Sus scrofa: one gene and its partners. The protein of the gene in region 1 purifies or fractionates together with the protein of each later gene. This does not show direct contact. Links are inferred from orthologs where the notes say so. Each region holds a gene or a part of one and is shown in the gene's direction. Other genes may lie near its edges. The genes, in order: LLGL2, PARD6G, RAD18, PRKCZ, PARD6B and DCAF1.

What was found.
Region 2: the proteins of LLGL2 (region 1) and PARD6G purify together in Homo sapiens (affinity purification with mass spectrometry; 4 studies listed by BioGRID and IntAct, counting the BioPlex papers as one, with this or other methods). This does not show direct contact. The link is inferred for Sus scrofa from reciprocal best matches to the Homo sapiens genes LLGL2 and PARD6G.
Region 3: the proteins of LLGL2 (region 1) and RAD18 purify together in Homo sapiens (affinity purification with mass spectrometry; 3 studies listed by BioGRID and IntAct, counting the BioPlex papers as one, with this or other methods). This does not show direct contact. The link is inferred for Sus scrofa from reciprocal best matches to the Homo sapiens genes LLGL2 and RAD18.
Region 4: the proteins of LLGL2 (region 1) and PRKCZ purify together in Homo sapiens (affinity purification with mass spectrometry; 7 studies listed by BioGRID and IntAct, counting the BioPlex papers as one, with this or other methods). This does not show direct contact. The link is inferred for Sus scrofa from reciprocal best matches to the Homo sapiens genes LLGL2 and PRKCZ.
Region 5: the proteins of LLGL2 (region 1) and PARD6B purify together in Homo sapiens (affinity purification with mass spectrometry; 7 studies listed by BioGRID and IntAct, counting the BioPlex papers as one, with this or other methods). This does not show direct contact. The link is inferred for Sus scrofa from reciprocal best matches to the Homo sapiens genes LLGL2 and PARD6B.
Region 6: the proteins of LLGL2 (region 1) and DCAF1 purify together in Homo sapiens (co-immunoprecipitation; 3 studies listed by BioGRID and IntAct, counting the BioPlex papers as one, with this or other methods). This does not show direct contact. The link is inferred for Sus scrofa from reciprocal best matches to the Homo sapiens genes LLGL2 and DCAF1.

Annotation. Positions count from the first base shown.
Region 1 is NC_010454.4:5,832,292-5,837,636, reverse strand, and holds the start of LLGL2 (lethal(2) giant larvae protein homolog 2), read left to right. Parts: upstream 1-2,233; 5' UTR 2,234-2,637; intron 2,638-2,797; 5' UTR 2,798-2,816; coding exon 2,817-2,891; intron 2,892-5,345. UniProt on the Homo sapiens protein: Part of a complex with GPSM2/LGN, PRKCI/aPKC and PARD6B/Par-6, which may ensure the correct organization and orientation of bipolar spindles for normal cell division.
Region 2 is NC_010448.4:128,247,415-128,252,774, reverse strand, and holds the start of PARD6G (partitioning defective 6 homolog gamma), read left to right. Parts: upstream 1-2,066; 5' UTR 2,067-2,255; coding exon 2,256-2,327; intron 2,328-5,360. UniProt on the Homo sapiens protein: Adapter protein involved in asymmetrical cell division and cell polarization processes. May play a role in the formation of epithelial tight junctions. The PARD6-PARD3 complex links GTP-bound Rho small GTPases to atypical protein kinase C proteins.
Region 3 is NC_010455.5:65,324,018-65,328,745, reverse strand, and holds part of RAD18 (E3 ubiquitin-protein ligase RAD18), read left to right. Parts: intron 1-2,204; coding exon 2,205-2,304; intron 2,305-4,728. UniProt on the Homo sapiens protein: E3 ubiquitin-protein ligase involved in postreplication repair of UV-damaged DNA. Postreplication repair functions in gap-filling of a daughter strand on replication of damaged DNA.
Region 4 is NC_010448.4:64,131,854-64,136,581, forward strand, and holds part of PRKCZ (protein kinase C zeta type), read left to right. Parts: intron 1-1,164; coding exon 1,165-1,296; intron 1,297-2,098; coding exon 2,099-2,180; intron 2,181-3,198; coding exon 3,199-3,251; intron 3,252-4,728. UniProt on the Homo sapiens protein: Calcium- and diacylglycerol-independent serine/threonine-protein kinase that functions in phosphatidylinositol 3-kinase (PI3K) pathway and mitogen-activated protein (MAP) kinase cascade, and is involved in NF-kappa-B activation, mitogenic signaling, cell proliferation, cell polarity, inflammatory response and maintenance of long-term potentiation (LTP).
Region 5 is NC_010459.5:52,208,128-52,212,678, forward strand, and holds the end of PARD6B (partitioning defective 6 homolog beta), read left to right. Parts: intron 1-2,547; coding exon 2,548-3,377; downstream 3,378-4,551. UniProt on the Homo sapiens protein: Adapter protein involved in asymmetrical cell division and cell polarization processes. Probably involved in formation of epithelial tight junctions.
Region 6 is NC_010455.5:33,705,400-33,710,127, reverse strand, and holds part of DCAF1 (protein VPRBP), read left to right. Parts: intron 1-817; coding exon 818-976; intron 977-2,534; coding exon 2,535-2,714; intron 2,715-3,276; coding exon 3,277-3,486; intron 3,487-4,728. UniProt on the Homo sapiens protein: Acts both as a substrate recognition component of E3 ubiquitin-protein ligase complexes and as an atypical serine/threonine-protein kinase, playing key roles in various processes such as cell cycle, telomerase regulation and histone modification.

The DNA of each region.
Region 1 (5,345 bases):
TGCTCCCACGGCTGCCAGCAGAGGAGCTCTCAGAGCCTCGGGGAGCTGTCCCCAGAGGGCCACCCAGCTTGGAGGAGCCGAGCTGTGGTGGGTGCGGGAGGCCTGGCTGTTGGTCCCAAGCCCTGGACTCTTTCCCTCCTTTCCCCCTGCTCCCTCCTCCACCCCCGCCCCCTACCTCCCGCCTCCCCCAGGACTGGGTTGAGTTGGTAGGAGCTGTTCCACAGCAGGAAGCTCCAGGCCCAGGTTCCTGAAGCTTCTCCGCAGAGAACCTGCCTGTCTGGGATGAGCAGAACAAGGGTTCGCCTGGAGGTGAGGCTGGCCAGTCCCAGACCTGTCTGCCTCTGAGAAGGGAAGCTACTTTTTTATGCCTTGACCTGGGCAGTTACTGCTCTACTGGGTGAGTGAGGAGCCAACTCACCCCAGGCCAGTGGGGTCCCAGCACCCCCTGTGGAATGAGCAGCAGATACATGCAAGGCCACCGGGAGACCTTGCCCGCGGCCAGGCCCCAAGCCCCAAACTGCTTGGTTGGCTCCGAGTTGAAGTGTGTGTGTGCGGCCGCGCCTTTTAACGGCAGGGGTGTAATTAAGCATCCTCCGTCCTGTCACACGCAGCCTCTAAGATCTGGGACTTCCTCGCCAGACCCGGGGCCAAGTCTGAGTTCTTTTGGTTCCTTCTCGGTGACTCGAGCTGCCCAGCCTCTCTGGTCTTTCTTTCCATGTCTGCCAAGTGGGGATATCCCACTCACCTTCCAGGAGGCTTCTGGAAGGCGAACGAACACCCAGGGTGGGTTTAGGTGCATCGTGTTCTACCACACGAAGGTCTGGCTCGACCTGGTGGGCAGTGGGTGGATGGAGGGCCGCCCTCCCTTCCCCAGTGGGGCTGCCTCCCACCCCACCCCTCATCCCTCTCCCCACCTCTGACCTGCACATCTGACCCCCAGGACTGTTCGGTGTCACCCTTCAGCCTGTGTGGGTCCTTGGCACAGATGGCCCCTGTGCCTTCTCGTCCCCACTCCACGGCCCAGAGCAGCCTCTCCCTGGAGGCTGCAGGCCCTTCTCCTCCTCCAGGGCGTCCCTCCCGGCTTCCTGTGACTTTTGACCCAGTGACCTAGGCTGGGGGAGGGAGAGCAGGCACCCCCAGGGGCCTGGGGCGGCCGATGGATGAGCTGGCGCCACCCTCCCCCATGGCTGGAATGTGAGGCCACCAGCTCAGCTGTTTGTCCAGGAGGCCGAGGTCACTGCAGGCTCGGAGTCTGTTTTCAGTCCCTGGCCCAGGAGGCTCGGGACTTCGCCGTGTTTGTTCGCTAGACCTGCTGCAGGGCCCCCGGGGGGAGAAGGGGGCAGTTCCCCCGACTACCTGCTGCCGCAGGAGAAGTGGGGCTCCCCGCTCTGCTCTGGCTTCCCCCCACACGTGAAGGCACAAACCTCTCAGCCACCCGCCCAAGTGGTGGCCTTTTCAGAGTCCCCAGAAGCTGGGCATGTTTGGCTGGCCCCGGGACGTGCATCACTGTCACAGAGTGCCCCCAGCTCTGCCTTGCCCGCGCCTCCCAGGGTCCTTTCCTATGCCAAGTCCTGGCCCGATGGCTCATTTTTGTCACCTTCCAAGAAGCCAGGAACTTCAAGGCACCTGTCAGACCTCAGCTTAGCTTCCTTCTTCTCCTGTAGGACCCCCGCCCCCACCCCGTGCCTCCCTGTTGGGGGGGGGGGCCCTGGGCGCACTTGACCTGCCCCTACCCCCGAGGCAGCTCCTCCAGGGCGGGGGCGGGCTCTGCCTCCTTCCCTGTCGTGTGTGAACGAGGCCATTTCCGGGGTGGGCCTGAGCCCCTGTGTTTCCAAGGGCAGGCCTCGGTGTCCTACGGTCAGAGGGAGGGTGCGCTCCTGGAAGCCGGAAGCCCGGGCTCACAGGCTCCCACCCCCTCCCCCAAGGCCGAGCCAGAAATAGTTCCCCCTGGACTGGGAAGGCTTCCACGGCGGGGGGCGGATGGTTTGGGGGCCTTGAGCTGGTTTCTTTATTGGGAGCAGATTTCGTCTTCTGATTAGCCTCCACTTGGGCCCATGGGAGAGGGAGCCATTCTGAATGTTCCCCGTCAGAGCCCAGGGGAGCAGGACCAGGGAGAGCCAGAGATGGGGGGTGGGGGCAGCCGGGAAGCCCGGGGTGGGGGATGGGACCGCACCCCCGACGCTGGGCCCTGCCCCTGCCCCCCGCCAGGAGGTTCCTGACGGCTGTGGCTGTGGCTGGCGGGAGCAGCCTAGGCCCTTGGCAGCCTTCCCTGAAGTTGGAAGGCAGCATCTGCCCCGGGGGAGCCGACTCCCCAGGGAGTCCTGCGGGGGCCCTGGCCTGGAATTTCTGGGCCTCCCCCCACCCACCCCCGTGGTTCCGATCTGGGAGCCCAGGTGAACCGCATTCCCACCTTCTGGAGCAAGAGCCTTGTGAAGTTTCCCTTTCTGTTTGGCCAGAGTTTTATGGTTTTTCAGCAAACAGGTTAACAATTAAGCTTAATTAACCTCAGGGCCTCTGGCCCTCCCAGTTCCTATAAAGCCAGGCTAAATGGCTTCCTCCCCCAGCTTCTCCCGTTGGCTTTAAAAGGCCCCAGGTGGCCAAGAGCAAGCGTCAGAGCATCGCCTGCCCGGCCGCCAGGTACAGAGCTCCTTCCCGCTTGGAGTTTTCTTTCCGGGGGTGAAGCTGGCCTGGCCGGGGTGGTGGCCACCTGCTGGGCCTGGGGAGAGAGGCTGCTCACCTGGGCCCCTGGGCCCAGGCCTCCCTGCCCTGGGCTCAGCGGCTTCTCCCGTTTCCCCAGGGGGCTGAGCACGCGCGAGATGAGGCGGTTCCTGAGGCCTGGACACGACCCTGCCAGGGAGCGGCTCAAGCGGGACCTCTTCCAGTTTAACAAGGTAAGGGAAGCCAGGGGCCGGCCAGGTGGTGATGGTGGCACTGAGGTAGCACCCTCGGGGGTGGGGGGGCACCCATACCTGAATTAAGGTACTTACTTGGCACTGCCCACCATGGCTCACAGAAATGTGACTTTGGAACTGGGGGCTGGTTAGAGGGCTTTCCTGGGAAAGGGCTGTAGGGCCCAGGAGTGGGCACTCCCCGTCCACGCCTCCCGCTGGCTGTGTGACCTCTGCAAGTCACTCCACCTCTTCCAGCCTCCGTTTCCCGCCCTTTAAAGTGGGTCTAGGGGAGTTCCCATTACAGCTCAATGGGTTAAGAACCCGACTAGGATCCATGAGGATGTGGGTTCGATCCCTGGCCTCGCTCAGTGGGTTCAGGATCCGGCATTGCTGTGAGCTGTGGTGTAGGTTTTAGATGCTCGGATCCCATGTGGCTGTGGCTGTGGTGTAGACGGGCAGCTGCAGCTGCAATTCGACCCCTAGCCCGGGAACTGCCATATGCCGCAGGTACGGCCCTTAAAAAAGACAATAAATAAATAAATAAAATAGGGATTAAACAACCCACCCTGCCTGCCACCTCATGGGGTTATTGAGGAGGCTTAGGGCTGACAGAGATGAAAGGACGTTGAACGCTGCTAAGTGTACCAGGGTTGAGATGCCAGTTTCCTTGGAGCCCCGGGGCCCCAGGCCTTGGCTCTTTCCTCCCTCCTCAAATTGCCCCCAAAGGAAAACAGTTTTCTTTGCAGGCAGAGCACATGGGTTCCTCTGCAGGCTCTTGGCCTGGGTGAGTTGGGGGAGGCGCCTGGGAGAAGGTGCTGGGCTTGGCATTTGACTGCTCCTACCCCACACCTGCTCCTAAGGCCCCCGAAGGGAGTGTCCTTTGTACCCGAGATCACAGGGGTGGATGGTCCCAGAAACTCCCCAGAGCTTCCCCACGGGGGCTGGGCCCTGAGAAGGCCAGGGCTGACCTCTGAAGGGGAAGGAGCCCAGCGTGGTTTATTAGCTCCGAGGCCACCTAGCAATCTGCAGCCGGTTGGGGTAATTAGCCCCTCTCTGCTTTGATCTAGGCCCATGGCCTCCACGCCTGCACGTCCTACGCGTCCCTCTACCCTGGAGGGTGGGCTGCAGGAAGGGGAGGCTTTTGCCCTCCAGAGTCCCAGGGCTCCTCCAGGCCAGGCTGCGGGGTGGGGTTCAAATCTAGCTTGGACGCTTAGCAGCTGGGTGACCTTGTGCCTGTCACCTGGGCTCGTTATGAGGATCGCATGGGGTTAGATCGTTTTGGTGCTAAGCACGGTGCTCCCAGAATGTTAGGTGCTATTTTCAGGGGCTGCCTGCCTCCCAGGGAGAGAGAGCCCCCAGGGGCTTGTTCCCAGCGGCTGAGGGTCCCCTGCCATTTTCCTCTGATTTTCCAGACCTCTGGGGTCCGGGCTTCTCTCGATGGTTTCCCTTCCTCTGGCAGAGGGAGCTGTGGGCAGGGCTTCGGGTTCTCGGGATATGAGGGTGCATACATTATGAATGGGGGATGTCGGGGCTCCTGGGGGCCTGCCATTCTCACTCCTAAGGGAGCAGCCTATGGGTGCTGGGTGTGCGTCTTGGAACCTCAGCACCTCCCCTCCCCCACCCCGGGGCCTGGGTGACCCCTGTTGCCTTCTGTTGCCCCTGATGATGCTGGCATCTCACACCCCAAAAAGGTGGCCAATTCCAGTGGGAACCGGATAGACAGGCTCAGTGACAGGGACCAACCCCCGCCCCAAGTTCAGACCGTGCAGCGGCAGGGTGGGGCTGAGGTGGGGCTGGGGAGAGGAATCAGCAACCACCCCCCTCACCTCCCCCAATCTGCCCCCAAAGTTGGCTGTTCCCCCACCACCACCCTCGGGCCTGGCCCGCCTGGGAGGGGAGGCTCCAGGGATTCCTTCTTCCTTCCGTTCACTTTCTAGAGATGTGTATTGAGGACCTGCTGTCTGTGGGGCTCTCAGATGATAAGGCCTTTGCCCTGGAGGACTTTTATAGGCTGGTGGCAAGAAGGGTGCTGATGGTCTGAAATTCCACTTGCTGGGCTTGGAAAGGGGGGAGGGGAAGTTGGGGGGGTGCTGGGGAGGGGAGGGGATTAGTCTCACCTAGGCTCTGAGTAAATGGAGGAGCCCCAAGGGCTGGGATTGGAAGGGGGAGGCCAGATCCTGGAAGGCTGGGGAGCCTGGGTGGTCCTACCCACACCAGCCCCGCCCAGCCCCCAGCTGTGGGGTCGAGGGAGGCTGGAACCAGAGAGTCAGTCTCACACAGCAGCATTTGGTGGATTTTGGGCAGGGGTGATGGATCTCATTTATGGTTTAGAGAAGGTAATTCTGGGCCTTTCTCTCTCCCCCTCCCTCCCAGCCTTTCAATCAGAAGCAGGTGAACTCAGAGCACTGGGAGATGGGCAGTGCCTGGATGGGGCTTGGCAGCGGGGCTGGGGCA
Region 2 (5,360 bases), on another chromosome or scaffold:
TCCTCATGCATACTAGTCAAGTTCATTACCACTGAACTACAACAGGAACTCTAGTAATCATTTTATATAATGAGCAAGATAGCAAATGTTTTTGAGTTTGTGTGCATACAGTTTCCCTCTCAACTATACAGCTTTGCAACTAGAGCACAAAGCCAGCCAAAGACATGAACGAGTGAGCATGGCTGTATCCCAAAAAACTTTACTTACAAAATCAGGCAGCAGAGCAGATTTGGCTGGCACTTAGCTCTTCATGTTGGCATATTATTTTTCATTAGGAAGGCCCATTTTCATTAAATGAGGTAATGCCATTGTCCCTAAAGCAATCTTAAATTAAGAACATAATCTTAAATTAGGAACCCCTGTTTACTCCCTTTACTGATATTTTAAATTTCATCCTTTCTATGTCACTTTGTTGTAGTTATATCTCTTGTTTACTGTTTTTAACTGGATACTACTTAGTGATAAAATCCAAAGCCTGGAGCTCCCTTCATGGCTCAGTGGTTAAAAACCCAACTAGCAACCATGAAGATTCAGGTTCTATCCCTGGCCTCACTCAGTGGGTTAAGGATCCAACGTTTCCCTGAGCCGTGGTATAGGTCACAGACACAGCTCAGATCTGGCGTGGCTGTGGCTGTGGCTGGCAGCTGTAGCTCCAATTTGACCCTTAGCCTGAGAATTTCCACATGCCACAGGTGTGACCCTAAAAAAGAAAAAACAAACAACAACAAAAACACAAATCCAAAAGCCTTAAAAGAGGTGAGTTTTATCTCATTCACATTTGTAGGCAACGCATAGACGCTTTCAGTTCCTATGTCTTATGTTACTTTTTTCTGCCTACAGAATTTAATAAACATTTCACATGTTTGTATTAGTTTCATGCCCTCTCTCTATATATGTATATTTATATACATAATGTTCTGAAAATATGCAATGGTTATATTTTTGTTTTAGTTTTCCTCTTGATCACATTTAAAACCACAAATGTAATTAATACACTCCTCTATACAATTAAATTAGCATGTTTGTATTTCTTTTAACTTTTTCTCCCATGAATTTACACTAAGAAAAATGATATAACCAACTAAAATTGGATTGTAAACCCGTATAGTACACTTTATAATAATTTTAAACACCCATTTGTCGTTTCTTCTTTGCCTCATTAAACATTCCGACGGTGACGATTGGGATTTTGGCAGTCCCGCTTCCAGAGCTCTCTAGGTAGTAAGTACTCATGACATCGCTAACAATCAATGCCATCTTTCTCCCAATATGTTCTTTTTCCTATCAGCCTTGGCATAACTCTTCCTTCTCGTCAGTCCTAGAGGTGTTTCTGACTCTCTCCGTACCTTTTTACTTTGGCATGTGTTAGACTATGCCTTAGGAGTTCGCTCCCCGCAGAACCTTTACCCAGACCATCTTCCACATGGCAGCTAGTGCGGACAGGTGTGCCCAAAGGGGTCAGGCCTCCAGTGATTCCCATATCGTCCAAAAATCAGCCAAGATCAGTCTCCTTCCCAGGCCAACAGGTGGAGGCAAGCAAAATCTAGTGCGGGCTGCTTGGTGGGAACGAGGCGACTGGGGGGGGGTCGGGCGGCGCTGCTGCTCTTCTGGGCTCCTGCGTTTGGAGCGCGCACCTACCCGTGAGCGCGTCTTAGGGGGCGGGCCCGCCGGGCGGGGCTTGGGGGGAGGGTCCTCGGAGCTAGAGGGAGGGAGGGAGGTGGGAGGGCGGGTCGGTGAGCCGTGGGTGGGGCCTGAGGGGGCTGAGTCTTCGGAGGAGCACCATGCGAGTCCTCGAGGCTCCGAGGGTGGATCCTTAGGGCGTTCCTTCAGGAACCCATCCTTGGGACGCAGGGCGGGACGTGGGTCCTCGGGGCTTGTGGGGCGGGTCCTCCGGGACCGGGGCCGGTTCTCGGTACGAGGGGCGGGGCATGGGACCTGGTCCTCAGGACGAGGGGCGGGGATTGGTGGTGGATCCTCCCGGCGCAGGGCGGGACCTGAGTCCTAGGGCCTCGGGGGGCGGGTCCTCGGGGCGGCGCGCGCTGGCGTCCCCCGCTCCTCCCGCGCGCGGCCCCTGGAGTCCCCGAGGCGCGCGGCCAGCCCTGCTCGGGCTGCTGCACTCCAGCTGCCCGGCCGCCGAGCAAGCGCGGGCCCGGGCCGGGGCCGGGGCCGCGGCGAGGGGCGCCGCACCCAGGGTCCTTCTGCAGCCCTCGTAGCGAGGAGCGAGGGCGAAGACGAGGCTAAGTGGAGCCGGAACCATGAACCGGAGTTTCCACAAGTCTCAGACCCTGCGCTTCTACGACTGCAGCGCGGTGGAAGTCAAGAGCAAGGTGAGCCGGGGTCCAGCAGTTTGCCTACCCCCCTGCGAATGAATGGGCGCCCCGCAGGGGACTGAACTGTGCGAGAGGGACTGGCGCCGGCGACAACTTTGGAGCGCGGCGCGGTCGGTGGAATGTGCGGGGGTCCCCCAGTCCTTCCCGCCCCTCTGCGCGCGCACAAAGCCCGGCAGCCCGATAGGGTCCAGCTGGAGCCGTGGCTCTCTGAGGGCCGCGCGGCCGCCGGACCCTTCGCGGGAGCTGCTCTTTTGTTCCACAAACCAGCGGCGACCCGGCGCGCCGCACGGTGGAGGGGCGACGTTTCCGGGGCTACCCGAGGCTGCTCGGATTCGGGGCCGTGGAGGGGCCTCGGGGGCCCGGGCGAGGGGAGGGCCCTGACCGCGCCGCCGCCCTCGCTGAGGAGGAGCCTCGGAACCCGCAAGGGGGGAGACAGGCTGCGGATCTCCGACCCCTGGACTGGACCCCCAGACCCCGGCCCCGCCCTGCGTACCAGCCCCTCAGCCTCCCGGCGAGCCCCAGGCCCAGATTCCCCCGGCGCGCAAGACCGGCGGCCCCTCCCGCTGCCCGCGCCCTGGCCCAAGCTTGCCCGAACTTGCGGGTGGCTGTACGTATTTGGATAATTGGCTGATAGGATCTGGCGCTTCTGCCCTTTGCGGAGGCGGCTCCTTTGCTGCAGACGCTTTTGTCTGCGAGGGTCTCGGGTGTCCGTGGTGAACCCCGCAGCAGAGGAGGAGCTGCAGTTGTTCAGGGTCCTGGAGGAGGGGCCCCTCGGGCTTACTGCTGCCTGAGAGCCGGTTCTTGCCCTTTCTCTCTGCGCGCCCCCCACCTCGGAAAGCAAAGCAGAGGAGCCTGAGTGGTGGGAGAAGGAGGGTGGGCTCCGACCAACTCCGCGCACACTCGAGTCTTGAGGCTTGTGTGCCCTGGCCCGGTCTCTAGGAAGACAAGTCCAGCGGTCCCCTGCCTGGGCTGCCCCTACCAGCGAAGGGGGATGGGGGTCCTTTGGTGTAAGATTCCCAGGGTTTCCTCCGAGAATTGGTGGAGGGGGCGCGGGTTATCTCCGCGGGAACCTCAACGCAATGAGTTGCGGAATTTCATCACCATCTCGTTGAACAGTGTTTTTATGAGATCCTCATGTCCAGTTACTCCGAATACTAATTCTGTGACCCTTGCCCAACACTCATCCCCTCTTCTAGCCCCAGAGTGCCTTCCCATACTGCCATCAGATGTGCCGGCCGTGAGTAGTGGGACGGGAAAGAACCGACAAGCATGAGTGAGGGCACCAAATAATTGACGTTTCATTAGCTCAGTGGGAATAAGGCTTTTAAAGCTCATTGTCCACTACAGTAGCCACTGAGCACTTATGGTGTTTCATTTTAACTTTCTGTTTTGAGATCATCATAGATTAACAGGCAGTTGTGAAAAAGAATACAGAAACTCCTCCAAAAGTAACATCTTGTATCACAGTGTCACACCTAGGACCTCATTAGACTTGTTCACAAGTGTTTTTAGGTCATGCACTTTCATCAGTGTGCACATTCCTGAGACCCAGCAGTCACAATACAGAGCACTTCCATCTCAAGGGTATCTTCTGCTGCCCTTTCATAGCAGCTATTTGACTCCAAGTGTGAGTTGATTAGCATCAATATCATACACTCTTCCTGAGTTCCCTGTGCTCAGTAGCCACATGCAACTTGCAGCTCCCTGACCAGATGCAACTCCAGAGGGTCTATCCAGAGGGGACAGCCCTGGAGGAAATGACCTCACAAAGCCTTATCCTACAGTGCTGGACTGTTGACACTGTGGGCCAATGGGTTCTGGAGAGTTGAGTCTGCCTTTGCCCCTCGTTGGGAGCTGGGGGCTGTGGGTGTTCTGGTAGCCCAGTGGATGGCCTTCTTGGCTTCCCAGTGAAGAAGAAGGGGCACTGCTCCATGCCCCAAGCCTGGGTTGAAGTTCAGATGCAGCGAATGCTCCCCAGAGGTGAATGGCAGAGCCAGACTTTTGGTTGAATTTGGGAGCAACCCTGGCCCTGGGCCCTGTTGGGCTGTCTGGTTATAGACACACCACTAGCAGCAGCAGCAGCGGCCTTTTTGGATAATGGGGCTTGCCTTACTTTTGTCCAGGGGGTTCATGTGGCTCTTCCCTCTGTATTCGGCCTTCCACTGACCCCCTTAGTAGTTAATACCTAGAACCATTGTGTCTGTCTCTGCAGGGGGTCTTGCGCCAGCTGCTGTTTTCAAAATATGGGGAAAAAAAACGTGATGACAGTGATGTCTTTATCCAGTCTAAATGTAGCACCTAGCACCTGGGTTTGTATTTGGATAAAATAGTGCCAGGGAGCTGAGCTCAGCAGGTTTTGCCACCTACCTTGTGAGCTTTCAGTCAAGTTATTTAACTTTTCTGAGTCTCAGTTATTTCATCTGTAAAATGGCCATTGTGCCGGTTCTGCTTACCTCCTAGGATCAAATGAGGTAGTGAATGTGAAACCACTTTTAAACTGAGAGCAGGAGTTCCCGCTGTGGTGCAGTCAGTTAAGAATCCAGCTACGAGGCTGCAGAAGCAAGAGTTTGATGCCCGGCCTGGGAACTTCATATGCTGCTGGGACAGCCATTAAAAAAAAAAAAAAAAAATGTTGAGAGCACCCACTGTTGTAAGAATTAAGCACTCAGATCAGGATTCTATGGCGTTTCAGGATATTGGGTCTAAAAATCACCTCTGATCCTCTCAGAATTTTTGGCATTAGCCATGTGCCACAGCTGGTCAGTTTCCAAAGCCTTGGGGACTTTATCTTGACCTGGTGCCTCAACCCCTCCCCCAAACATTTCAGCTTTAAAACCTGTGACTGGGCTCCTCCTACGCCGTCCAGCAGCATGCACTTCTGATTCCCCAGTTCTGGTAGTGGGACTAGCGTTTCATGGTCATTCTGACTTCTGCCCCTCTTCCCATGAGGCCTGAGGGGGCAGGGGTTGTGCCCATGTCTGGGGGTGTAAGTCTTGGCCCATCAGAGGGCAGCAGGAAGGCCAGTGCTGA
Region 3 (4,728 bases), on another chromosome or scaffold:
GATTTGGTTCTAAACCACCGTAATAAGGCAAATATCCAAATATCACAGGTTTTTTTCTTTCCCAGTGCATATAAAAGTTATGTTTACACTATACTATAATCTATTATGTGCTTTATGACTGAAAAAATGACTAAAAAAATGTACATGCACTAATTAAATTTTTTTTTGTTTAAAAATACTGTCTTAGTTAATCTTCAACATAGGAGGCAAGAGTATACAGTGGAGAAAAGACAGTCTCTTCTGTAGGTGGTGTTGGGAAAGGTGGACAGCTGTATGTAAATCAATGGAGTTAGTACCATTCCTCACACCATACACAAAGATAAACTCAAAATGGCTTAAAGACTTAAATTTAAGACATGATACCATAAAACTCCTAGAAGAGAACATAGGCAAACATTCTCTGTCATAAATTGTATTAATGTTTTCTTAGGTCATTCTCCCAAGGCAATAATAAAAGCTAAAATAAAAAAGATCTAATCAAACTTATAAATCTTTTGCATAGCAAAGGAAACTGTAAACAAAATAAAACAACAGCCTACAGAGTGGGAGAAAATATTTGCAAACTATGCAACCAAAAAGGACTTAATTTCCAAAATATACAAACAGCTCATACAACTTAATTTAAAAAACCCCAAACAAACCAATCAAAAAATGGGCCAAAGACCTAAGTAGACATTTCTCCAAAGACATGCAGATGGCCAATAGGCACATGAAAAGATGCTCAATATCACTAATTATTAGAGAAGTGGAAATCAAAACTACAGTGAGGTACCACCTTACACTGGTCAGAATGGCCATCGTTAAAAAATTTACAAATGACAAAAGCTGGAGAGGTTGTGGAGAAAAGGGAACTCTCCTACACTGCTGGGAATATAAATTGGTGTAGCCAACTATGTAAAACTGTATGGAGGTTCCTTTAAAAACTAGAAATAGAGTTGCCATATGATCCAGCAGTCTCACTCCTGGGCATGTATCTAGAGAAAACTCTAATTTGAAAACTACATGCACCCCTGTGTTCATAGCAGCACTGTTTACAATAGCCATGACATGGAAGCAATCTAAATGTCCATCCACAGATGAATGGATAGAGAAGATATATATATATATATATATATATACACACACACACACACTTATACACACAACAGAATACTACCCAGCCATAAAAAAAGAATGAAATAATACCATTTGAGACAATGTGAATGGACCTAGAGATTCTCATAATAAGTGAAGTAAGTCGGAAAGAGAAAGAGAAATACCATATGGTATCATTTATATGTGAAATCTGAAGTATGGCAGAAACAAACTCATAGAAAACCAAACTTATGGTTACCAAAGGGGAAAGGGTAGGGAGGGATAATTAGAAGTTTGAGATTAGCAGGTAATAAACTGTTATATTAAAAATATATTAAACAACAGGGTCCTATTGTATTCAATATCCTATAATCAACCTCATTGAAAAGAATATGAGAAAGAATCTATATATAACTGAATCACTGTGCTGTACATCAGAAACTAACACAACATTGTAAATCAACTATACTTAAAGTTTAAAAAAGAAAATGCTGGCCATCACCAGACAATACAGGGTTGCCAAAAACCTTCAATTTGTTTAAAAAAGAAAAGAAAAGCGTTATCTGCAAAGCACAATAAAGTGAAGCACAGTAAAATGAAATATGTCTGTAGCTACAAATGAGAGCTAAATTAACAAATTTGTAGCCATGAATAATTTGAAGAGTAGTTGGCCCACGCCAATATATTATTTTATTTAGCTGCATATACCCTTCCCCCACCTTCCATCTCCAGCCAGGTATGTCTTACTCAAGTTGTTATGATTGCTTCAGTGCTAAACATTAATGGTTCCTAAGACTAGGAAATACTTAAGATTAGTTTTATAGCTTGGTCATGCTTTGGTGGAAAAGATTTAACTAAAGCATTTTTTAGTAAAAGAATTTCCAGACTTCTTTGCAGTATCTTCCTTCAGAACTAGGATTCTAATTATTATTATTATTTTCCACAGTATAGTCATTATTCAGTAATCAGGAGTCTGTTCCACTCCTGTTGCCCTTTTTCTCTTATACTTTTTTAAGTGTGTGTTAAGATTGGATTCTGTTTTTTATCTTAGTTGCTAGAAGGTGCCAGGTTATGTTATTTTTGCTTTTTCTATAAATAATGAAATCTTCTTCTCTTTTTGAAAAATACAGTGGATTGTCCTGTTTGTGGGGTTAATATTCCAGAAAATCACATTAATAAGCACTTAGACAGCTGTTTATCACGTGAAGAGAAGAAAGAAAGCCTCAGAAGGTAAGAAAGTTAAACACAACCATTGAGCTACTTTAGCTGTTGCTTCTTCTGCTTTATAAAATATTAGCCACCTGTCCATTCTTTATTCTTTCCTCAACTCCTATCTTGCCAAATATAATTAACTTTATTATATGCTAATAAAATTTGACTGAACAAGAAATTAATGACTTAGAATTCAATAATTCTTTTTAGATTTGTTTTTTTCTCTTAGAATCTTAGAACTACCATAAAACCCTTGGCTAAAGAAAGCAAGGTTAGACTGAACATAGAACACATTAAAGCTTATGTTAGTTCTTAGGAAGCTCAGAAGTTTAAATTTTTTAAATCTAGCTTTTTCAAAATTTATTTTTTCTGAATAGTTAATTACCATACACACATGATGTTCAAAGATACAAAAGGGTATGTTTGAATTGTAATCTATATTGTCTTCCAGTTACCCAGGTAAGATAAGTAAGTTGTCAACCCAATATTTGTACCTAAACTCACATTATTCTGCCTCTCTTATACATTGAAGTCAAAGTAGTTTATTAAACTAGACTGCTGTTTTTACACATACAAGTTGTCTAGGAATCACATTTTAATCAAAGTTAAATTGAGAGTGTTAAAGAGTCAGTGGTTAATGAAGATAATAGGGAAGCAGAAGTTGCAAATTAGGTGAGTATGGCGATGAAGGAAAGAGGAGAGATGGAATGGTGGTTTGGGGAAGGAATAAGCAGCAAAATCGAGGAAGATTTTATTTATTCAAATAGAAATTATATAAGCTTTTAGCCTCCTTCCTTACACTATCTCCAGGGAGAGAGCAAATGATATAAAGTATAAGAGATCAGAAGTCCAGTAATGAAGCTATCCTTGACATGCAAAAAGAACCCATTTGAAACAGGAAGGAAGGGGAGAGAATAAGTGATATTTCAGAGGTATCTGGAAAGGAGAGGAAGGAAAGTGAAGAAACCAATGCTATCTAGGAGGTGAGAATGAACAGAATAATTGGCACTTCCATTTGGTCTGTTTTGAAGAACTTGGAAGAGTCTTTTCCAAAAATCATGCTGGTTAGGCAGGAGTACTTTATCGTATTTATGATTAAAGATAAAATAGTATCACTTAATTTTTATGAGTATATCTGGATTCAGTTCAGTTTCCAAGGGACAGACTCTTGCTGTTAAAATTTATGAAAGGTAACATATAAAGCACAGTGGTACTTTCTTAATTTACAGTGGGGACACCAATTAACAGTTATTATTGTGTTCTTAGCTTGATATTGTTTTCCCTAGCAGAACCTTTTTTCAAGTGAAATCTTACAGTGATCCATAATATGTGAAGCAGGTAAACTTGGCCCTGTTCCATTAAAGTAGAAATAGGGGCCTGGGCCTGTGCTGATCCACCTGACCCTCCCCCTGCCTTGGTCCCTGCCTGTTATCCATAGTGGCCTGTAGGGCCTAAGATTCCTCCACAGACGGATCCTGGCATCAGATGCCTGTGCAGTCTTGCACGCACAGCAATCAGTCCTAGTGGCTAAGTTTGTTGACAGGAATAAAATTTAGATTTTTAGGATGCCTAGTTAGTTGGGATTTGGAATAAATGAAGCTGGATCATCTCGAGGGTTATTTCCCATAAGCTGTGAGAATCTGATGACTTCTTTAGAAATGCTTTTTCCTAGAGAATGAGTTGGGAGATTGGAAGCTGAGCATTTTCTTCTTGACCAGTAAGGAATCAGCACTGATAATCCTGCTTGGTCTCTCTTTTTCCAGATACATCCATCATATTTCTTCTAACATACTTAGCTCTGTCAATTTATCTAAAGACATACACATCCATGAATAGTGAAGTTCAGGTTCCACTAGTGGTTCCAAAGTGCTCGATGGAAAGCTAAAGTCCTGCCATTTGCTCTGTAGTGCTTTTAGAAGCAATGCATACTCACAGGGAAAGATTCACTGTGCAAGTTAGTGGACTGAAGGCTCTGAGAAGTCCTACATCAAATATGATTGTTGGATTTTGTTTTATCTAATAATTCCTATATTTATTTGACCCCCCCCCAAACTCTTTTGTCCTCCTAACTTAATCTTGCAAAACTAGAATTTGGAAGGATACACCTCGGGAGACATTGAGCCACCTTTCTCTTTAGTTATATCCTCATCCTGGATCTGGTCACATAAAAGAGTCTCTGGCATTTAGAAAATTTTCTCCACAACACCCTGACAGGTCCCTGCTTTAATGTGTATGACAGCTCTGTAGATTCATATCAGAGTAGATTAAAAGAATACTCTTCCTTTTGATGTCCTCAGGTTCTGAGGACCCTTAAAAGCTTTACTGTTAAACCAAATCATGAAAGAAAGGTCAGTATCATTTTCATGTTTTGGGGAAACATTTTTCAGGCTTCATGTTTTTATTGTTGCTTTCTGCTAGTGCTTTTCATTGTAAATGCCAGTG
Region 4 (4,728 bases), on another chromosome or scaffold:
GCCTTTGCCTTGGCTCTCGGATGCTCCTTCCTCGGATCCTGAATTCTCCCCAGCAGTTGCCCTCCTGGGGTGGAGGTGCCGTCATTCAGGTGATTGGCCAGGGCTGAGGTCTCAAGAGGGTTGGCCCTGTGGCCCCCGTTGGCCCTCACTGCCGTCCACTGCATTTCCGGTGGGTCCCGGGGGCGCCCCACAATTGGGGGGTGGATTCAGCCACACGGGGACTTTGGAAGACACTCTCCCTTTTCCTGTTATGGAAGTTGAAAGCTGTGGGCATGTGTGTGTCTTCAGCACGTAGTGGGCGCCCACTGGGTGCGGCTGTGTGGCTGTGACTAACAGACACGAGCCCTGCATGTGGGGAGGGGCCTGGGCTCTTGGTGGCCGTTGGCCGTGAGCAGCCGTCCCGTGGGGCTGGGTGGCACCCCAGGTCCACACCTGCGGAGGGGTGGCTCCATTTCCTAGCTCAGCTCAGTCCACGGCTGGCGGGCGGGGGGGTTCTGTTCTGGTCTCCAGGAGAGACTTGAGACTCTCTGAAGAGGCTAGAATGTGGAAAAACTCAACAGGGAGCCCGTAGGTGTGCAAACGCCATGCGCCTGTGAGGACAGCTTGGGCTCTGGGTGGCGGGCGTGCGGCCAGACTTCTGGACACGCTCACGTCCCTGCGTGTTGTGACATTCCAAAGTGGGAAAGCTGCCCCGAGCCAGCACATAGTAGTCATGAAATTCACGTGCTCAGAGCTGAGAAGAACAAAAATTGGCCGTTTAAAGTCTTTTAAAAGCTGGAAAAAAGCCCCAGACCACTGCACAGAGCCCCAGTCAGCTCGCAGTCCCGCTGCGGCTGGATGCCCGCGGCCGCGACTCCTGGGTGGCCAGGCGGCCCACGCTCTGCCCACCCGGGGCCCTTGGCTGTTCCCACCTCCAGGCCCTGTGAGCCGGGGGCCTTGCGGGGAGGGGTCCCATCACCCCCACCCTGGGCCTCGCCTGTCTCCTCACGAGCAGCCCAGCCCCCTCCTTGGGGCCCCTGCTTCCCCCCTCCCCGGGGAAGGACCCAGGTGGGGGCGGCTGGGCCTGGTGCCCCAGCTCCATGTGGCCGCGCAGCACGTCCCCTCGGGCCACTGGGGCTGCGGGGGCACCGGCCCCGCTTGACGGCGCTGTTGTCGCCCGCACAGGGAGCGTACTGCGGCCAGTGCAGCGAAAGGATATGGGGCCTCGCGAGGCAAGGCTACAGGTGCATCAGCTGCAGACTGCTGGTCCATAAGCGCTGCCACGGCCTCGTCCCGCTGACCTGCAAGAGGCATATGGTGAGTGGAGCCAGGCCCGGGGCCTGGGACTGCAGGGCCACAGCCCGGCTGGTGGTCCGGGTCTGTGCCCAGGCAGGAAGCAGCGCTTAGGAGCTGGGGGCGAAGCCGGCTGCCCTGACCCTCAAGGCCCCGGGCCCAGCCCCAGTGCCCCACCCCGCAGGGAAGGCCCACTTAGGTGTCCAGCCTCTGCTGGCGCTCCACCTGGCCGGCCACGTGCGATGGCCCGGGAGCGGAGCTGGAGTGACCATCAGCCCCCCGGGCTCCGCGAGCACAGGTCCCATCACAGAGTGAGCCGGAAAGGCACGTCTGGGGTTGGAGCAAGGGCAGAGGTGTCACACGGTGTTGCCGGAGTGCTGGGACACGGGTCCCGCAGATGCGGGAGGCGCTGGCTCAGCCGCAGCTGCCAAAACCTAGAAAGGTGCCCGCGCCCTTCGATCCTCTAGGTCCACATTAGCCTGAGAAATGAGACCAGCCCCGAGGCCACGGCCAGAGGCTGAGGGATGCCCGGGGCTGCGGTATTCACCAGGAGGGACCTGCCTCCATTGTGACATCCGCCCTGAAACCCGGAGCCAGGTGGTGTCTGATGGCTGGCGGCACACGACGCGGGCTGGGAGGGGACTCTGCGTGGATGCACGCGTATCAGAGCGCGCCCACTGCAAAGGCCACGGCCCGAGGCACCGGGCGGTCCCCTCTGCCTGCGACTCGCAGGGTTTCCTCCAGGCCAGTGCGGGAACGGACGCTTGAGTGGTGAGAACCGTGACGTGGCAGCATGCGGGTCACTCTTCACGCCGTCTCTCTGCAGGATTCTGTCATGCCTTCCCAGGAGCCTGCAGTAGACGACAGCAGTGACCGCGTGGACCTTCCGTCCGAGGACACCGATGGAAGTAGGGCCCCAGGATGCCCGCCCGCCTCTGCCTCCAGCCGGTTCCCCCACATCCCATTCTCCCCGAGGGCCAGTGTCCGTGAGCTCAGCGGCTCCTGGGGGCTTGGGGTGGGCTCTCCAGGCGGAGATGGGGGGTGGCCTTCCTGGGCGCCCAGCTGTCTGTGAGCGGCTGCCCTAGGGGCCCGGTGGCAGGGGGAGGGTCTTCCCTCTGCTGACTGTGGAGGTTCTAGAAGGCAGGAGTGCAGCAGCCACCATGGCCCCTCCCACACACTGGGTGCCCATCGCCGTGGAAAGGCCTGCTGTTCACACCACACGCTCTTGTGTACCTCTCAGGGTTTCGTGGGGTTTTGGGGGGTTTTTTTGGTTGGGGAGACTTTCTAAGGCTAAAAGGTGTCCAGAGAGTGGTTTTGAACACCAGCTGGACTGACGGCCCAGCTCTGAGCTCCTGCAATTCTGTGCACTGTTACATGGGTGTGAAAGGCCTGGCCCCTCCCTTGATACATATGGGCCCCGCCCCCAGGTGAAATGATGCCTCGGAACATAAAGCCCATAGCCCAGCACCTCCTGAAAAGGACACTCCTGACACCTGCCCACCCACCTGCTCACCATCCACCACCCACCCACCACCCACCCGACCCTCGTGCCATCCACCCCCTCCCCCACCTGCCACCCAGGACCCATTCAACCAGCCATGCATCCAGCTTTCCATCTGCATCCTGTAAGAACAGACTGAAAGGTTAGGCCCCACAACCTCAGTCCTAGGCACGCGGCAAACTTGCCACCGTGCCGGTTTGGGGCCCTCCCCAGAGTTCCAAGTCAGCAGGTCCAGGTGGGCCCAGGAAGCTGCATTTTCTTAAGACTCTAGCTGAGTCAGAGGTGGCTGCTCCTGGCCTTCGCCCTGAGCGCCGCTGGCTTGGCCTGGGCCGCCATGCGTCGGCAGGGCCGGGGCGGGGGCCCCGAGTCTCGGGCCGCGGTCCCAGCAGTGCTCCTGACACCTGGCCTTCCTCTCTCTCCAATAGTTGCTTATATTTCTTCAACCCGGAAACACGACGGCATCAAAGATGATTCCGAGGTGAGTGTGGGAAATGGCTTCTCTCTCCAGGGGTTTTTAGAAGTTTGTTGCCTCTTTGCTGGGCAGTTATGGAAACTCCAAGGTGAGCTGGGCACCTTTGGGCAGGGCTGCTCCTGCTGAGCGGGGCCATGGCCTCCGGCACACGGCAGTCCCGTGCAGGGCGGAGGGCTCTGAGGTCGTCCAGACATTTAGCTCAGAGGTCACCGGGACAGCTGAATGGGCAGAGAGCCAGTGCTGTGCCTCAGAGGTGAGGACCTGGCGCTTCTTAGACGCGACTCCTTCACTGATGCAAACCGGGGGCCAGTGTCCTTCCTTGGCCGCATCTGTGAGCCCGAGCGGCCTGGCCTGAGCCCGGGTCAGGGGGCCTCTCTGCCCTCAGGATCCTCTTCCGTCAAGTTGGGATGACCTTTGCACCTTCCGCGAGGGTGAACTGAGAGCTGTCGCATGAGCTCTTAGCACCCGCCCGCCCGCACGGGGAGCTGTGCACGCACTGACCGCTGGCGGGGCCACCGCCTCCGAGCGGCTGGCTCACCGGGCGCCCGCAACCTCCACAAAGCAAACACCTGCGCTCACCCGCCCCGCAGTCGCCTCCCGTCCCCTGTGACAGATGTTCCTGTCCCTGGGGCGTCCATGCCTCTTGTGGCAGAGATGTTGGCACCTCTCTCGGGGCTGGGCCCTCTGGTTTGGGGGGATGAGTGTCCAGTGTGCCCAAGTCAGTCTGTTGGGGGGGAGATGGGGGGGAGTGAGGAGGGAGAGACAGGGTGAGGAGGGGGAGGCAAGGGGAGTGAGGAGGGGGGACGGGGGGGGGGATGAAGAAGGGAGGGGGGATGAGGAGGGGAGATGGGGTGGGGAGGGAGAGGTGAGGGGGCGGTAAGGAGGGGGAAACGCGGGGGCGGGGGGGGGGGGAAGTGCTCTGGACCCAGGCCTGCCTCCTTCGAGGCAGGGTCTCACTTGGGACACACCCTTTATGAATCCCCCCGAGGCTTCTGTGCCAAGGGCTCTTTGGGGCCCAGATCCTGGCCCCCAGCTCCCAGCTCCCCCTCCACCCCAGCGGCAGGGCAGGCCCAGGGCTGGCTCCTGAGCAGCAATTCTTTCATTCAAGCCTTCGGTACATTTCCGTGGGTGCCTTTGCAGCACGACGCAGTCGGGCCCTGCACCAAGTCTCCTGCATCAACCTAGGTCTGACACCGTCCACCCCCCCCCGGGGGGGGGGCACCCGAGCCTGCACCTGCAAGACTGCATCCCACCCGACCGACCCCTCCTCCCGCTTGAGATGGCCCATCGTGGGTCCAGGCTGTCACCTCTGACTGACAGGCTATAGCTCAGAGGGTCCCACAGCCCCGCCTCCGGCTTCCGTTAACGCTCACAGGACTCAGAACGGTTCACTTACCAGATCATCAGTTCCTGATAAAAGGATGTGACTCAGGAGCAGCTGGAAGAGAAGCCCAGGGTGTGGGGAAGGGGCAGGATGGGGGGC
Region 5 (4,551 bases), on another chromosome or scaffold:
TTACTGGTCTTGTACATTTATCTGAAACCAGCTTTTGAAGAGTGTTCCAGCAGCATGAGAAAGGAATCCTCAAGTTCTCTGTCCTCTGACACGCAGCGGACACCCCCTAACATTCGCCACGGGCGTTGACGGCCCAAGGTCTTGGCCTAGTAAGAACACCTGGGTCCAGACTTTCGTCTCTAACTTATTTCGTACCCTTAGTTTCCTGATCTATAAAGTAAAGGTAGTAATACTTATCCCCAGAGGGGGCCCTGAGCATCCGGGGACAAGAGGATGTCGCGGGAAGCCCTGCAGCCTCGGTCCAGCGATGTTACCGCTGTCTGTCCGCCCGCAGCGGTGGCCGAGACTCGAATTTAAACAAGTTCTTGAGGGGCGGGGGGCATTTCGTCTCTTTTATTCTTATTAAATATTTTTTATCCTGGGAGGTTCTGACTTCTTAGTTTATCACCACTTCAGTTATTTTTGAACCGTGATTTCACATTTTGTGCCTCCTGTTGATTCCGTCTCCTCTCATTCTCTGATGAGAGATGCTGTTTTAGACTGGCTGCCTCCAGCAGAGCGATTTAAGAAGACCTGGTTTTAGGTGCCCTGCTTTTGCCTTGTTTACATCAAGATTATAAATTGCTGGCTTGGAGAATGAATTCAACCCCCAGGCATTATTTTGCTCAAACAGGTTTTTGTTGTTACTTAATTAGGTGTCAGCATTTAAAAGTGGGAAGAATTTTTTACCGGAAAAAAAAAAAAAGCCTGAGACTCTCTGACCAATTGAAATGGCCACACAGATTCCTATAGTCCACGAAGCAAAGCTGCCTGGAGCAAGGAGCGGCTGTGCCTTTAGCTAAAACAGGGGCTCTGCTCTGCTGGGAGTCCTCAGCCCTCACTGTTGTCTTTGACCCGCCACTGAAACAAAATATCATTGCATTTTAATGTTTTTCACATAGTGAAGAAAAAAGTTAAAAATCGTAACACCTCAGCCTCTTTCAAGATTGGAAAAACGAAAGATTAAGAACTCCTCCAGAGGAGTTCCCGTCGTGGCGCAGTGGTTAACGAATCCGACTAGGAACCATGAGGTCGCGGGTTCGATCCCTGCCCTTGCTCAGTGGGTTAACGATCCGGCGTTGCCGTGAGCTGTGGTGTAGGTTGCAGACGCGGCTCGGATCCTGCGTTGCTGTGGCTCTGGCGTAGGCCGGTGGCTACAGCTCCAATTCAACCCCTAGCCTGGGAACCTCCATATGCCGCGGGAGCGGCCCAAGAAATAGCAACAACAACAAAAGACAAAAAGACAAAAGACAAAAAAAAAAAAAAAAAGAACTCCTCCAGAAAACTGAGGGAAAGTGTATCTGCAGAAGACCAAAATCTCTGTGTTTGATATGCATTCATTTCATGGCATTATCATTTCATGAGTATTATCTGCTTTGTTTAATTATAAGCAGACTTCAGATATATTGTGGGTTCGGCTCCAGATCACCTCAATAAAGCGAATATCATGATAAAGCAAGTTACATGAATTTTTGCACAGATTATAATGCAAATGTGTGCATTTTGTCTTAAAAATGCATTATTATTTAAAAAAATCTTTTTTTGCTAAAAATGTTATCCATCACCTGAGCCTTCAGCAAGTTCTAATCTTTTTGCAATAGTGAGATCAAAGGTCACTGATCAAAGAGCATCATAACAGGTATAATAATTTTAAAAGTTTGAAATTTTGCTAGAATTAACAAAATGTAACCCAGAGACATGAAGTTGAGCAAATGCTATTGGAAAAATGGTGCCAGTAGACTTGTTCAGTGCAGGGTTGACACAAACCTTCAATTTGTAAAAGCCACAATTATCGGAGAAGCACAATAAAAAGAGGTCTGCCTGTACGCTGTCTGCCCAGCCTCTATTATAGGTATTTAAGCTTCAGAAGTGCCCAGTTTCATGTCCTTGAGTTGAATGTGATAAACGTGCAAATCATAGGTTTTTAAACAAACATAGGGAAAATACTGTATAAATGATTTGTTTTAGGTGGTGTTTCAAAATGTGAGGCTCCTCAGCATGTCATTTGCCATATTCCATGGTGCTGAAACTGTTGAGCTTTATCAAACTTCAACTTTTGGTAAAGATTTTTATAATGATACTTGAGAGGGCCACCTAGTGTTTTTTTTCTGGTATAGCATATCTTACTACTGCACTCCTTTTTTTTTTTTTTTTTTTTTTTTTTTAATGGCTGCACCTACAGCTACAGCACATAGACGGTCCCAGGCCAGGGATTGAATCCCAGCCGTAGCTGCAGCAATGCCAGGTCCTTTAACCCACTGTACTGGGCCAGGGATTGAACCCATGCCTCTGCAGTGACTAGAGCCTCTGCAGTCTGATTCTTAACCCACTGTGCCACAGCAGGAACTCCTACTGCACTGCATTTTGATCTGATTAGAATAAGCTAATATTTAAGTTTGTTTATGTACCAAATATGTTTTTGAGTTAGCCTTTCTGTACAGATTCCACTGAAGATAAATGAGTGTTTTAACAGCATTTTTGTAATTATTCTATTTTATTTTTAAACAGAAGAAGCGGACTACAGTGCCTTTGGTACAGACACACTAATAAAGAAGAAGAATGTTTTAACCAATGTGTTGCGTCCTGACAACCATAGAAAAAAGCCACATATAGTCATTAGTATGCCCCAGGACTTCCGACCTGTGTCTTCTATTATCGATGTGGATATTCTTCCAGAAACGCATCGTAGGGTCCGCCTTTACAAATACGGCACTGAGAAACCTCTAGGATTCTACATCCGGGATGGCTCCAGTGTCAGGGTGACACCGCATGGCTTAGAGAAGGTCCCAGGGATCTTTATATCCAGACTTGTCCCAGGAGGTCTGGCTCAAAGCACAGGACTATTAGCTGTTAACGATGAGGTTTTAGAAGTTAATGGCATCGAAGTTTCAGGGAAGAGTCTTGATCAAGTCACAGACATGATGATCGCAAACAGCCGCAACCTCATCATCACAGTGAGACCCGCGAACCAGAGGAATAACGTCATTAGGAACAGTCGAACTTCTGGCAGCTCCGGCCAGTCTACGGATAACAGCCTCCTTGGCTATCCTCAGCAGGTCGAGCCGAGCTTTGAGCCCGAGGATGAAGACAGCGATGACGATGACATCATCATTGAAGACAGCGGAGTGCCGCAGCAGATCCCGAAGGCTGTTCGTAACACCGAGAGCCTGGAGTCCTTAACGCAAATAGAACTCAGTTTTGAATCTGGACAGAACGGTTTTATTCCTTCTAACGAAGTCAGCTTAGCACCCGTAGCAAGTGGCACAAATACAGAATTTGAAACGCGTGCTCCAGATCAAAAACTGTTAGAAGAAGATGGAACAATCATAACACTATGAAACCATTGTTTGAGTGTTTTCTGAATGAAGATGCCGTGGAGACTTGTAAATTTGGCTAGTCTAACATATATACCTCTGAACCAGTGATCTGGGATAGGCATGAAAAAAAATAATAGTGCAAGCTTCACATGTTATTAAAATAGTAGTTTGATAATTAATATAAACCAGTGGGTCAGAGGTGAATTTAAGTCTAAAGGGGGCCTTTGCTAATGAAATGACGTGCTTTTGCTGTCTTGTCTACAGAGCACTGGATGTTAGAGCACATTCCCAGAACCGAGCGCGGGGACGAGGCCATTTCTGTTGGAAGTGGTTACATATTTAACTTGCTGTGCAGAGCCTGGATAATTTTCCCCTTAACTGTATGTTTTAAAATTCTAATGTGAAGAAGTCTATCTTTGGTACTTTGGGGACCTCAGCTCCTATGTTCCCCGTGTTTTATCTTGATTTTTTTTTTTTAGTGTTGTTCCTCTGTTGCTAATTTTAGCAAGTAATATTTTCCACTGCTTTTTTCCCTAATTTCTAAGAAATCAAACCAATGGACTGATTTTAGGAGTCGCTTCCCTCATGGAAGCTATGTTCCTGAAGTAAGAAACGCCAACAGATGTTCAGACCCGCCTTTGTCCCTCCCGTAGCTCTTGTCTGTATCATCTCATTCCATTCGGGTGTAGGTGTAGGTTACAGCGTCAGAGGCAGTTCCATCCACTCTGGTGATACGGGAGGCTCTCTCCCTGCACTTCTTGTTCTCATTCCGAATCTCGTTGGAAACCATTCCTTTTGTTGTTTGTGTGTTTCGTTGGTCTGCTTGTATACTCTTAATGTACTCGAATAGTGTCAATATTTTCGTTTAAAAAATGCACCCAAATTAAGAGATTTTACACACAGGACAACCTTGTGCACTTTTTATATGAAAAATTTGGGTTTTCCTTAATGGGATTTCTAGGAACACTGCCTACACTTTATGAAAAGTATGTAGTATTCACCTTTGACAGGTAGAGTATATCTCCATTAATTTTGTGAGGCTATTTATTCCTTTCCAGTGCATCCACTTAGAACAAGGTAAGAGTAAGGCTGCTAACTTTCATTCCTTGCCTGGTTTCATTGTCTGAGGGCCACAGGCACTACAGTTTGCTTGTATATAGAGACGAAGAATAGTGTGAACCACGTGAGTTCCTGT
Region 6 (4,728 bases), on another chromosome or scaffold:
TATGTAATCACTTAAAATATAGCTAGTATCACTGAGGCACTGAATTTGTAACTAATTTTAATTAAATTAGCCACATGTGGCCAGTGACTACTGCACTGGACAGTGTAGTTCCAGAGAATATTGAAATTAAATAGAAATAAGGTAATTTGCTTTTCAGACCCCAGAAATTTTATTTTTTTAAATTTTTTATTTTTTTTGTCTTTTTGCCTTTTCTAGGGCTACTCCTGTGGCATACGGAGGTTCCCAGGCTAGGGGTCTAATTGGAGCTGTAGCCGCTGACCTACGCCACAGCCATAGCAACTCAGGATCCGAACCGCGTCTGTGACCTACACCACAGCTCATGGCAGTGCCGGATCCTTAACCCACTGAGCAAGGCCAGGGATCGAACCCGCAACCTCCTGGTTCCTAGTCGGATTCGTTAACCACTGAGCAAGACCAGGGATCGAACCCGCAACCTCATGGTTCCTAGTCGGATTCGTTAACCACTGAGCCACAGCAGAAACTCCTGGACCCCAGGAATTTAAAATTTTGAGGAGATCAGATAATTATTGGGGTAGCATGTATCTTTGTATGTGGGATGCAGAATGTGTGTGAGTATAAAATGTGTAAACTGATGATTGGACAGTGGGATGAAACTGGAAGTTTTTTGGTTTGTTGTGTTTTTGTTTTGTTTCCCTTAAGCAAGTATTGTTTTTACTTCTGTTGTAGGACAATGGTTGTCTATTTCAGAAGAGTCCTTGTATTTAGCACCTTGATAATTTGTGAAGAAATGTTTGTTCTAGACTGTTCCACTGTGACATGTGTTTTCTTTGTTTAGCATCTAGCATCTCTCCTGCTCCATAACAAGTTTGCTACAGAATTTGTTGCGCATGGTGGAGTACAGAAATTACTGGAAATTCCTCGTCCTTCTATGGCTGCAACTGGTGTGTCCATGTGCTTGTACTACCTGTCCTACAACCAGGATGCCATGGAAAGAGTAAGTCCAGTCCCTTCAAATGTATGGAAATAAGGTAGCATGAGGAACACTCTTACACAGTCACGGGACAACCTTTGGATAAGAAAAAATGAATAGTTGGATTAAGTTTTAAAGAAGCAAGGAGCATGAATGTCTGATTTTTACAAAGCATTCTAAAAATGTAAAATTTTTTAGGAGAAGTCCAAAATGTAAAAATTTTTAAAAAAGGTCCTTTTTGTTTTTTTGAGTCTCTGAAAAAAAAAAATTCAAGATGGATTGGGGTCAGGGAACTTTTTTAGTTTTTGCCATTTCTTTTGCATTAGAATTATTTTCAGGTTCCTTTCAGATATCCCTCAGTGGAGTTATATTTTGCATTTTTGTGTCAGTCTGTTATAAAAACAACAGATGATACGAGATGATGGGTTGTATATGTTAACAAATAGCTTGGTGGAGATAGTAAAATCATTCCAGTTGTTCTCAGAGCTCCAGAGGTTCCCCATCTGGTTCTTCTGTTTTTCTAGTTGAGACTTAGTGACTAAAAAAAAAAATGTAAGTGGGTTGTACATTTGAAAAGACATAGGTCCCTAGATACCACTAGCAAAATGCTTGTCATTTCTGTGCCTGTAATATTTTTCTAAAGTTCTGTGTGGTGGAGTAAAGTTGGTAATTTCTTTTTTTCTTTTTTTTTTTGTTTGCTTTTTAGGGCCACACCCATGGCACATGGAGGTTCCCAAGCTAGGGGTCGAATCGGAGCTACAGCTGCCAGCCTACACCACAGCCACAGCAACGTCAGATCCGAGCCATGTCTGTGACCTGCACCACAGCTCGTGACAATGCCAGATCGAGGTCAGGGATGGGACCCCCAACCTCATGGCTCCTAGTCAGATTTATTTCCACTGCGCCATGATGGGAACTCCTGAAGTTGGTAAATTCTTCTTGAGCCATGTCTGTATTTATCTTTACATGTTTATTAATAAAGTAATATTTTGATTTTAATTTTTTTTTACCCCTTGAGATCAGTATTATGCAAGGATGTGTAGTCTTTTGAGAATAGTAACCTAACTTGTGTATGTATATACAAAAGTAATTGTGGTTAAGATAAAAAAATACCAAGCAAACCTGGGCAGTGCTTCATAATTCATAGTCTGACCTATAGGAGACAAAAAAATGTGTGTGACAGTGAGTGAATGGATACTAAGTAGACTTCAGTATCAGAAGGTTCAATCACATTTATCCTCCTGGGGAAGTCCCTTAATTTTCTGAGCCACTTCCTCATCAGTTAAGTGGAAATCCTAATACTTACTTAACAGAATGTTGTGAGCATTAAAGGATGTAAATATTTGCAAAATTTCATTCAGTGTAGGTTTAATGTAAATATTTCTCTAAATTTAGGTTATTTTTAGGCTTGGAATAGATTGTTAGAAAATTTTATTTGTAACTTAAGCTTTAAACTCAGAATCAGTTGTCTAGGGGTGATTATTGTATTCTGCAAAGATATCTAACTACACTGGTGAACTTTTCATCCCCTTTGAAGGTTCCTTTCCCCAAAATTTTAAAAAATTATTTTTATGTTTTTCAGGTTTGCATGCATCCCCACAATGTTCTGTCTGATGTGGTGAACTATACCTTGTGGTTAATGGAATGTTCTCATGCCTCAGGATGCTGCCATGCTACCATGTTTTTCTCAATCTGCTTCTCCTTTCGGGCTGTGTTGGAACTCTTTGACCGCTATGATGGTCTCCGTCGTCTCGTGAACTTGGTGAGATCCTTCAGTGGCTTCTCTTTGTGCGAAGTAGGGATCTTCCTTCAGACCCACCGACTGGAGGAATTTTGCTGTCATTTTTATGGATGAAGTATTTTTTTCCTCCTTCATTCACAAGTTTCTCTTCTTCTTAAGTGGTTAGAAGACTGTGCCTTTGTATTTTCTTTTTATTGAAGTATAGTCAATATATAATCTGACATTTTCTGCTGTACAATATAGTGACCCTGTTGTACATATATATGTACATTCTTTTTCTCGTATTAGGACTGTGCCATTGTAGACTTGCCTTGGATATAGTTATCTAAAGTGGAACAGCTTAATCTTTCTAAAAGCTATAGTTTGTGCCTCTGTGTATTTCAACATGATTGAAAGCTATGCAGCTTTTCAATAGATTTAATGTTTTAGTTTCATATGGCTGCTCTCAGCATGTATAGACCGATGTACTTTAATTTTTATCAGTATTCTTGGGCATAAAATTTTACTGAGATCTTTCTTCTTTTCCTTTTCCTTTTTGTTGTTGCTCCTTTTTTGGCCCGTTCTTTTGCCTCTTTCCCTATAGATCAGTACTTTGGAGATTCTAAATTTGGAAGATCAGGGTGCACTTCTGAGTGATGATGAAATATTTGCTAGCCGCCAAACTGGGAAACATACCTGCATGGCCTTGCGCAAGTACTTTGAGGCTCACCTGGCCATTAAATTAGAACAAGTGAAGCAGTCACTTCAGAGGACTGAGGGTGGCATTCTTGTTCATCCTCAACCCCCATACAAGGTGAGAGAAGCTTATTTTAAAAGGGAATGTTGTTAACACTCTCTGTAATATCTAGGGCCTGAAATGCACATTCATTATCAGTGAGTCTCAACATGTAAGATGTACATTGTTGAATTATATTTGCACTGTTTGGAGGCAGAATACTTGAAAATGAATGTACCAAGGAATTACTTTATCTCAGTTTTAAGTTGCTACTTCTCTGGGATACCGGAACTAAAAGATGAACTGAGATGTGTGTAAAAGGGCTTTCTTTTTTGGAAAAGTGCTAGCTATCCTACCTTCTATGTGAAAATCTTTTCTGAAAGAATCCATCTTTAATTCCACTTTACTGTCATTTCTGAACTTAATTGGTATGTTTTGGAACAAAGATTAGTATCTGCACAGTTCCTGCTGTGGTGCAATGGCTGTAGCTTATAGCTCTGGCTCAGATTTGATTCTTAGCCCGGGAACTCCATGTGCCATGGGGCAGCCAAAAATGAAGAAAACTCAAACTGAATAGAAACCATTTTGTGTGATGCATCTTAAGCTGTGAAATATATGCACCAATTATTTGAACATTGTGTTATTTTTTAAGCAAAAAGTATTACGAGTCTAGTTTTTAAATAAAAGATTAAACATTATTTTTATATATTCATTATTTCATATGTGGGCTATGGACTGAAGAATTGTAGGATTTGAAAACTGTTATTGGAGTTCCCATCGTGGCTCAACAGTTATGAACCTGAGTAGTATCCATGAGGACATGTGTTTGATCCCTGGCCTCGCTAATTTGGGTTAAAGATCCTGCATTGCCGTGAGCTGTGGTATAGGTCACAGATGTGGCTTGTATCCCTCCTTGCTCTGGCTGTGGTGAGGCTGGCAGCTACAGCTCTGATTTGACCCCTAGCCTGGCAACTTCCATATGCCTCAGGTGTAGCCCTAAACAAAACAAAAAGAAAATTCTTAAAATTATTTAGCTTTATTATTAAAACCTGTTGGGGAGTTGCTGTCATGGCACAGCGGAAACTAATCTGACTAGGAACCATGAGGTTGTGGGTTTGATCCCTGGCCTCGCTCAGTGGGTTTAGGATCTGGCGTTGTCGTGAGCTGTGGTGTAGGTCGCAGATGTGGCTTGGATCCTGCATTGCTGTGGCTGTGGTGTAGGCTGGTGGCTACAGTTCCAATTGAACCCCTAGCCTGGGAACCTGCATATGCCATGGGTGTGGCCCTTAAAAAAAAAAGTAAAAGTTGGCCATTGAGCTG